Linked DNA regions of Drosophila melanogaster. The main gene of each other region encodes a partner of the protein of the gene in region 2 in a complex. Each region holds a gene or a part of one and is shown on either strand. Other genes may lie near its edges. A codon is read from its position in the direction of its gene.

Region 1 (4,723 bases), on a different chromosome or scaffold from region 2:
TGCCCCAGCATCTGAGTCTTCTCCATGAAGTCTTGCAGCAAAGTTGACTGGTACTGGGGTAGGTTCTTGTCCTTGGCCGCTTTGCGGAAACTTCCTTCCACAGTTGTGTCCTCCGTATCGCTCTCCACTCGCTTGATAGCCGCCTGCACCAGGTTAGGTAACTCGTTGTCGCTGGACGAGATTCCGATATCGAGGGTGGGTTTGCTGGCCGACTGTGCCGCCTGGATGATAGCACTTAGCAGCACTCGCGGAGCTCTCTGCTGATGCACCTTCAAGGGCAGATCGTCCTCTGAGTCCGAGGAAAATGCCGAGATCTGTGACTTCTTAGACTTAGACACTTTGTCCGATTTACTAATCCCACTGGAACTTGCCAGCTTCTTGCGCTTGACCTTCACTTTCTTGCTGACCGCTCTATTTTTGGCCTCCGAGCAGCCGGACTCGGTGTCCTGGGTAGACATTTTTCTGGACTTTGGGGGTTTCTTGGTTGCTACGACTCCTAACGTGGGGCGGATGGCCGAGATTCTCATTCGCAGTCCATCGGTGTCCGAACGCTGCACGCTAAACTGGGTGGCTGACTTGATCGACTTCGACTGGCTCGATTGATCCGTAATGGAATCGGTTTCCTGAGGAGAACAACACACTTTACATATAGCATTGCATAAAGGGTGCCATTTTAAAGACTTGCCTCATTTTCACTGCCGGATTCTTGTGCGCGTTGCGTTTCCAGAACCTTTGCTGCTGCCGTCTCATTTTGGCTACAGCTCATATTTTGGAGTCGCTGGGGAGCTGCAAAGGTTCGCTTTTGTTAGCCAAGTGTTTTTAATTCGATTTGGTGGCACTCTTAATCGCCTTTAAAGTAGGTCAAACCGCGGTGACATCGTCCAAAAAAAAAACCATTACCTACAGCACACTTACGCTTGATTGTTTTCTGGGCTAGTAGTAGACCTCAGTAGTCGGTTTCGTTTGTGCCGAAATGACAATCTATTGCTGCACACATTGCATTTGCACTTTTCTTGAGCCTTAGGCCGTGGCTTGCCTGCTTCTAAAATGGCGCCGTTTTCACTTTCCCAAAAACTGCTTTGTTCGACGCCCGACGACGGCGCAACGTTGCAACGCTTCTCGCATGTGGCACATTAATCCGCGGTACCGATAATTCACTTTTTTCGCGACTAGTGGGCGGTGGCGGGGCGCATCAATTGTTATTGTTAATGTGGCGCAACAACAAAAAGCCAGGCAACCAAAAATTTACGAACATAAATAAAGAAAAAGACTGCGTTTCAGTGTGCCCAGCTGGGGTGTACGTGATGTCTACGCGACAGTGTGACCTTGCGGCGGAATTTAGCAGGCAACTATCGCGAACAATAGTGGATTCTATTCAAAAATAGCTGGAAAAAAACAAGCCGATTATTGTATAACAATGTGAAACCAGTAATATTAATATGACATTTTTTATGAATTAAAAATGAATTCTTATATTTTTTTTACTATTGTAACTAAATATTTGTTATGGGAATATATTCCTTACATGAACTCGCAAATAGCAAAATTTTAGGTGACCATAAAACTAATTATAGCAGACGATATGAAACAACAAAAAAGCCAGAATAGCTAGATTTTCTCTTTTGGGTGTGTGCACACTGGCCGAGCAGCTCGGCGATTATTATTTGTTTATTTGTAAAAACCTGGGAAATGAGTGGAAAACCGTCGAAACCGAGCAGCCCCTCCAGCAGCATGCTGTACGGCTCCAGCATCTCGGCGGAGTCCATGAAGGTGATCGCGGAGAGCATCGGAGTGGGCTCCCTGTCGGATGACGCCGCCAAGGAACTAGCGGAGGATGTGTCCATCAAGCTGAAGAGGATTGTACAGGATGCGGCCAAGTTCATGAACCACGCCAAGCGGCAGAAGCTCTCAGTGCGGGACATCGACATGTCCCTTAAGGTGCGAAATGTGGAGCCGCAGTACGGTTTCGTAGCCAAGGACTTCATTCCATTCCGCTTCGCATCTGGCGGAGGACGGGAGCTGCACTTCACCGAGGACAAGGAAATCGACCTAGGAGAAATCACATCCACCAACTCTGTAAAAATTCCCCTGGATCTCACCCTGCGCTCCCATTGGTTTGTTGTGGAGGGAGTGCAACCCACTGTGCCCGAAAACCCCCCTCCGCTCTCGAAGGATTCCCAGTTACTGGACTCGGTCAATCCAGTTATTAAGATGGATCAAGGCCTAAACAAAGATGCGGCAGGCAAACCCACCACCGGCAAGATACACAAGCTGAAAAACGTGGAGACCATTCATGTCAAGCAACTGGCCACGCACGAGTTGTCCGTGGAGCAGCAGTTGTACTACAAGGAGATCACCGAGGCGTGCGTGGGATCTGATGAGCCGCGGCGCGGGGAAGCGCTGCAGTCGCTGGGATCCGATCCTGGCCTGCACGAAATGCTTCCCCGCATGTGCACCTTCATTGCCGAGGGAGTTAAGGTCAATGTGGTTCAGAACAACTTGGCGTTGCTTATTTACCTCATGCGCATGGTTCGTGCGCTTCTGGATAATCCTTCGCTGTTTCTGGAGAAATACGTAAGAAATTTCTTATTGTATTGTTCTTTGTTTCTCATAAAAACGATGTTGTCTCCGCATAGCTCCACGAACTGATACCCTCGGTGATGACGTGCATTGTGTCCAAACAGCTGTGTATGCGCCCCGAGCTGGACAATCACTGGGCCCTGCGAGACTTTGCCTCCCGACTGATGGCTCAAATCTGCAAGAACTTCAATACCCTAACCAACAATCTGCAAACCCGTGTCACCCGGTAAATCACATCCACTTAAATTAAATAACCTTTTAACATCCATTTCCCAACCTTCAGCATCTTCAGCAAGGCCCTGCAGAACGACAAGACCCACCTGTCCTCGCTTTACGGCTCTATTGCGGGTCTCTCGGAGCTGGGGGGCGAAGTCATAAAGGTTTTCATCATACCCCGCCTTAAGTTCATATCGGAGCGCATTGAACCTCACCTGCTCGGCACCTCCATCAGCAACACTGACAAGACAGCAGCAGGTCACATCCGCGCCATGCTTCAGAAGTGCTGTCCCCCGATTCTCAGGCAAATGCGCTCAGCGCCAGATACAGCGGAGGACTACAAGAACGACTTTGGCTTCCTGGGGCCGTCGCTGTGCCAGGCAGTAGTCAAAGTTCGAAATGCGCCCGCCTCAAGCATTGTAACCCTGTCATCCAACACTATCAACACGGCACCCATCACGAGTGCAGCACAAACAGCAACAACCATCGGACGAGTGTCCATGCCCACCACACAGAGACAGGGGTAAATAACACTTTTAAGCATAAAATAAAATTCCAGCCAAGCATTTGATTCCTAATGGAAACCATGTTGACATGTCTTTTTATGCCCATTACTAAGCGGTTAAATATTCTTTTGTTTTAGAAGTCCCGGAGTCTCGTCCCTGCCGCAAATAAGAGCCATTCAGGCCAACCAGCCGGCGCAAAAGTTTGTGATAGTCACCCAGAACTCGCCGCAGCAGGGCCAGGCGAAGGTGGTGCGGCGTGGCAGCTCTCCGCACAGCGTGGTCCTCTCCGCGGCCTCCAACGCTGCCAGTGCCTCCAATTCGAACTCAAGCTCGAGCGGCAGTCTACTAGCGGCTGCACAGCGGAGCAGCGATAATGTGTGTGTTATTGCCGGTAGCGAAGCGCCAGCAGTTGATGGTATAACAGTTCAATCTTTCAGAGCATCCTAGACGCCAACTCGCTGATCATTGAGACGGAGATTGTGCGCGCACCGCCCGAGCTGGACGATCTCTCGCACCTGGAGTAGCCAGCTTAGTTCGTAGTCCACATTTTGTCATATTGTATGCAATAAAATAAAAAATGCGGGTTCCTACCCCAAAAAAATGTAACCACACAAATAGGAAGAATATTAAATCATTATTTTCACACGTTTTGTGTAAAATGGATTTAGTTCTTCTTAGCAAGCAAAAAAAAAAACATTATTTAAGGATTTCCCATAGAAATATTAAGCTACAGTTCTGTAAATAACGAACTGTTGAAATCAACTGACTGCTCTCCCACCCCACAAATCGAAAGCTTGCCCACGCAGTCAGCACGCATGTGCGGGTATGGGCCCCCAAGTGGCTTGCTATTGATTTCTCCAGCGCATTGCTGGGTGAACGCACAAAGAGCTCTGCTCAGCACTCCTTGTAGATACCCATCGCAGGACAAAGGCAAAGCTCGAAACGCTTCTGGCAGCATTTTCAAAGGATAAAAAGGAATTCTCACAAAAACCCAGGAAAGATGCATGCCAGATTTGCGGATCCCGAGCCAGCGTCTCCGGACAGCGTTGATGGAATCGAAACGGAGTCACTGGAGGCGCGGATTGAGGCCTTCAAGCAAAATCCCCAGAACATGGCCGCGTTGCGGGAGGCGCTCGACGATGTGCTCCTGCGGGCTGAGACGGAGGCGAACAGGCGGGCAGTTGAGAGCCAGAAATCGCAACAGGTTGACCACACATATCTAATATTCGTTTTCGAGCTAACTGAACTAACTTGTAACTTCCCTTGCAGGGCAAGGAAAAACGACCGAGTAAGTATACGCAGTGTGGTTCAGTACATTTCACTTCTTAGCTATTTGGATAGTGTATTGCTTTTCCCTTTCGAGCACTTCAGCGCAAACCCTTGCCAAGTGCTGGCCGCTGAATAGACACTTGTGCACAAAT
Region 2 (3,518 bases):
TTCTTTGAGAAGGAGAAGGTCGTGGGCGAGGATTACTTCCAGCAGTGGAACACGGTATGTACACCAGCTGCATTGGGCATGTATGTGGATTAACTAATGATGAATATCTTGATTTATTAGGTCCTGCGCGACAACACGAAGATCGCCTACGACTGGTCGTACATCGTGGCCTGGGCAGGAATCGGAACCTGTCTCCTGGCGTCCATTCTGCTCTCCGGCGCGGCCGTTTGCCTGCGCAACGAGCGGGAGAAGGAGGAGCAGCTGAACCTGCAGTACCTGATGCCAGGTATGTCCATCGTGCTGACCCTCTAATATAACTAATGACTAATTTTCGGTTTCCATTTCCAGTTTACTCGCAGAAGCAGCCACCCTATCCCCCTTATGCCAACTACGCCCAGCCGCAGATCTACCCAGGACCTTACTATCATGGCTCGCAGTACGGACCCTACAACTACTAGAGGCACACCCGAAGGGGCCAGCCAGCTTCAGCCAGCAGCTGCAATTGAGTTATAGAGACATAGAGATCACAAATCATGACCAGGAGGGAACCTGGTAGCCCTCCCCAGTAATCAAAATAGAGCAAGCGCTAACGAAATCTTAAAACGCATACATTCTGACAATGAAAATATTACTTAAAGCATCAATTTTTTTTTTCGACAAGAATCTAGTTTGTAGTCTATATAGAGCTATATAGTATATATATATATGCTTGTATGTATAACTGATCGTGGGACTTGAGTCAAAGTTGCGTCCAAGTTTTTGGTGCGCGAATTGTTTGCGCGTTATTTTGCAAATATCTAAGAGAGACGAATGGATGGATGGTTTTATATGTTGACCACGGCGAGATGGCGATTTAAAGACGGAACAATAAAGAGTTAATTTATTGTAGCACGTAACGTACATGTAGCGTATCTAAAATAATAATAAAGAAATATGTGTATGTATCTAAGCTAAAAGTTTCATTGTACAATGTATATGAATGTAATAATGCGCGACAAGCTTCAATTGTCTTCCAAGTATAGTGCATATTGTATGTAGAGCTGTACGTTTAATGAATAAAAGTTTCTTACGTTAATTTAACAGTTTTTAGCTCCTTTTGGCGGGACTTCGTTTTTGTTTTTCCACAACTGGGGTATTCAAGTTTTGTTAATAAGCTTATCAAGTCGTGTGAGAGAAATTTTTGACTTTATTAAAACTAAACAGAATTGTAGTCTTCATTTCACTCTGCCATTTGTTCTCGTTTCGTTAATTCCGAAATATTTTGAAATTGTTGTTTCTGATAGTTAATATTCCACCTATTGGTCCACCTATTATGCCAATGTGGTGTTATGTGATCTGGTAGAAATATGCTTATTGTTTAATATTTTGGATAAGCTTCATTAGATTTGTTCCTACATTTAAAAATCGATTTCTAATTTAGCCGTTTTTTTTAAATGGCCAGAGCCAGAGTTGCCACCCTGCAGTCCAGCGGCGTTTTCCACACTAGACGTCTGCATCGATAGTATCGCATAAGCTCACCGATTTCCGATAGACCCGTATATATGTACGTGCACAATTTCAATGGAATAAACAATCTTCTTGCAGCAAAGCCGACGTAAACATAATAACTATAGAAGTATGAGCGCAGAGAAGTCCGATAAGGCCAAGATCAGTGCCCAAATCAAGCACGTGCCGAAGGACGCGCAGGTGATCATGTCCATCCTGAAGGAGCTGAATGTCCAGGAGTACGAGCCGCGCGTGGTCAACCAACTGCTGGAGTTCACCTTCCGTAAGCGGCGATTAATGCCTTGCTTTTCCCACATCATTTTCCTAAATGCTGTCTTGCATTGCAGGCTATGTAACCTGCATTCTGGACGACGCCAAGGTGTACGCCAACCATGCGCGCAAGAAGACCATCGACTTGGACGACGTGCGTCTGGCCACCGAGGTTACGCTGGACAAGAGCTTCACCGGGCCGTTGGAGCGCCACGTTCTAGCCAAGGTGGCCGACGTGCGCAACAGCATGCCCCTGCCACCCATTAAGCCGCACTGCGGTCTCCGACTGCCGCCCGACCGCTACTGTCTCACCGGCGTCAACTACAAACTGCGGGCCACTAATCAGCCCAAGAAAATGACCAAGTCGGCGGTGGAGGGCCGTCCACTGAAGACCGTCGTTAAGCCCGTCTCCAGCGCCAATGGTCCGAAGAGGCCACACTCCGTGGTGGCCAAGCAGCAGGTGGTGACCATTCCCAAGCCCGTCATCAAGTTTACCACCACTACGACAACGAAAACGGTGGGCAGCTCCGGCGGATCTGGGGGCGGCGGTGGTCAGGAGGTTAAGAGCGAGAGCACCGGCGCCGGCGGAGATCTCAAGATGGAGGTGGACAGCGATGCGGCGGCCGTGGGCAGCATCGCTGGCGCATCCGGTTCGGGAGCAGGAAGTGCCAGCGGAGGAGGAGGAGGAGGAGGATCATCTGGCGTTGGAGTGGCCGTCAAGCGGGAACGTGAGGAGGAGGAGTTTGAGTTTGTGACCAACTAGCGAAACGACATCATTTACCTTAAATTAATATTCTTAAACCAGACCAAAGCACTTGCATTTGGTTGAGCGAACTGGGGGTCTAAATTTCAACTCGAATGTGAAGTCCCAAAAACCTTAGTATAGATTCGCCCGTTAATCATTATGAAATCTACGTTTTATACACAAATACAACTACCAGATTTTCATATTAAATATAACATTTATTTTAGACTCCAGTCGCGGATAAAGTACATGTAATGAATGTGCTGAGTGGGATGAGATTACTTTAAAGCTAAGATGATGCAGCAGCCAAGGTCCATGATCTGCAGATACTCGGAGCCGCCGTCCTGCAGTCGAAAGCAGCATTCCTGTGGGATAAAGGCAGCAATAAACAAGAGGAATCATATCTATCTATGCAGTCAGTACGTACGCCCAGCTTATCGCAGATCGTGGCCTTTTGCGGATCATTCAGCCCCGGATGATGGACAATGAACTCGACGAACTGTTCCATCATTTGGCCAACGCTGTAGGCGGAGAAGCCAATCTCCCGCACGAACTGCTCCAGGCGCTCGTAGTTCCCAGAGCGACAGACCTCCAGGTAATCCTCCAGATAGTACTCCGGTATAACGCCCGACATCTCGAACAGATCAGCAGTGTTGATGATGTGCTCGGGCCCTTTAAGGCGGTAGCAGGACTGCAAGGTGGTGATAGCGCGTCGCAGATCTCCGCCGGAAATTTTGACAATGGATTTATAGGCATCGTCCTCTATCTTTACTCCCTCCATCTCGCAAATGTACTTCAAACGATCGATCACCTTGTCTTCGCCCAGCGCCTTGAAGCGAAATTTAGAGCAACGCGACGTGATTGGCACGATAATTCGGGACACATAGTTGCAGATCAGGCAAAAACGGGTGCTCCGGCTCTCCTTCTCCATGGTGCGACGCAGCGCAGACTGTGCGGCATGGGTCATCGAATCGGCCTCGTCCAGAATGATGATCTTGAAGGGCGGACACGGCTTACC

What was found.
Region 1: the proteins of Taf9 (region 2) and Taf6 are in contact, whole or in part, in a crystal structure (PDB 1TAF), measured with the Drosophila melanogaster proteins. Residues at the interface, in NP_523391.3 of Drosophila melanogaster: Lys20 (codon at 1,675), Asp21 (codon at 1,678), Val24 (codon at 1,687), Ile25 (codon at 1,690), Ser27 (codon at 1,696), Ile28 (codon at 1,699), Leu29 (codon at 1,702), Glu31 (codon at 1,708), Leu32 (codon at 1,711), Val34 (codon at 1,717), Glu36 (codon at 1,723), Tyr37 (codon at 1,726), Glu38 (codon at 1,729), Arg40 (codon at 1,735), Val41 (codon at 1,738), Gln44 (codon at 1,747), Leu45 (codon at 1,750), Phe48 (codon at 1,759), Thr49 (codon at 1,762), Phe50 (codon at 1,765), Tyr52 (codon at 1,835), Val53 (codon at 1,838), Thr54 (codon at 1,841), Ile56 (codon at 1,847), Leu57 (codon at 1,850), Asp58 (codon at 1,853), Lys61 (codon at 1,862), Thr71 (codon at 1,892), Ile72 (codon at 1,895), Asp73 (codon at 1,898); in NP_524161.2 of Drosophila melanogaster: Gly18 (codon at 1,741), Ser19 (codon at 1,744), Ser20 (codon at 1,747), Ile21 (codon at 1,750), Ser22 (codon at 1,753), Glu24 (codon at 1,759), Ser25 (codon at 1,762), Met26 (codon at 1,765), Ile29 (codon at 1,774), Ala30 (codon at 1,777), Ile33 (codon at 1,786), Val35 (codon at 1,792), Ser37 (codon at 1,798), Leu38 (codon at 1,801), Ser39 (codon at 1,804), Asp41 (codon at 1,810), Ala42 (codon at 1,813), Glu45 (codon at 1,822), Leu46 (codon at 1,825), Asp49 (codon at 1,834), Val50 (codon at 1,837), Ser51 (codon at 1,840), Lys53 (codon at 1,846), Leu54 (codon at 1,849), Lys55 (codon at 1,852), Ile57 (codon at 1,858), Val58 (codon at 1,861), Gln59 (codon at 1,864), Ala62 (codon at 1,873), Gln71 (codon at 1,900).

Annotation. Positions count from the first base shown.
Region 1 is NT_037436.4:19,597,471-19,602,193, forward strand, and holds Taf6 (TBP-associated factor 6), read left to right. Parts: upstream 1-1,617; 5' UTR 1,618-1,689; coding exon 1,690-2,574; intron 2,575-2,636; coding exon 2,637-2,806; intron 2,807-2,863; coding exon 2,864-3,319; intron 3,320-3,439; coding exon 3,440-3,749; 3' UTR 3,750-3,912; downstream 3,913-4,723. Other genes in the region: ash1 (absent, small, or homeotic discs 1), read right to left, coding at 1-623, 686-766; CG9368 (uncharacterized protein), read left to right, coding at 4,303-4,506, 4,572-4,590. UniProt on the Drosophila melanogaster protein: TFIID is a multimeric protein complex that plays a central role in mediating promoter responses to various activators and repressors.
Region 2 is NC_004354.4:17,840,642-17,844,159, forward strand, and holds Taf9 (TBP-associated factor 9), read left to right. Parts: upstream 1-1,519; 5' UTR 1,520-1,617; coding exon 1,618-1,768; intron 1,769-1,832; coding exon 1,833-2,518; 3' UTR 2,519-2,707; downstream 2,708-3,518. Other genes in the region: CG6398 (uncharacterized protein), read left to right, coding at 1-54, 121-286, 349-458; CG8142 (uncharacterized protein), read right to left, coding at 2,779-2,865, 2,928-3,518. UniProt on the Drosophila melanogaster protein: TFIID is a multimeric protein complex that plays a central role in mediating promoter responses to various activators and repressors.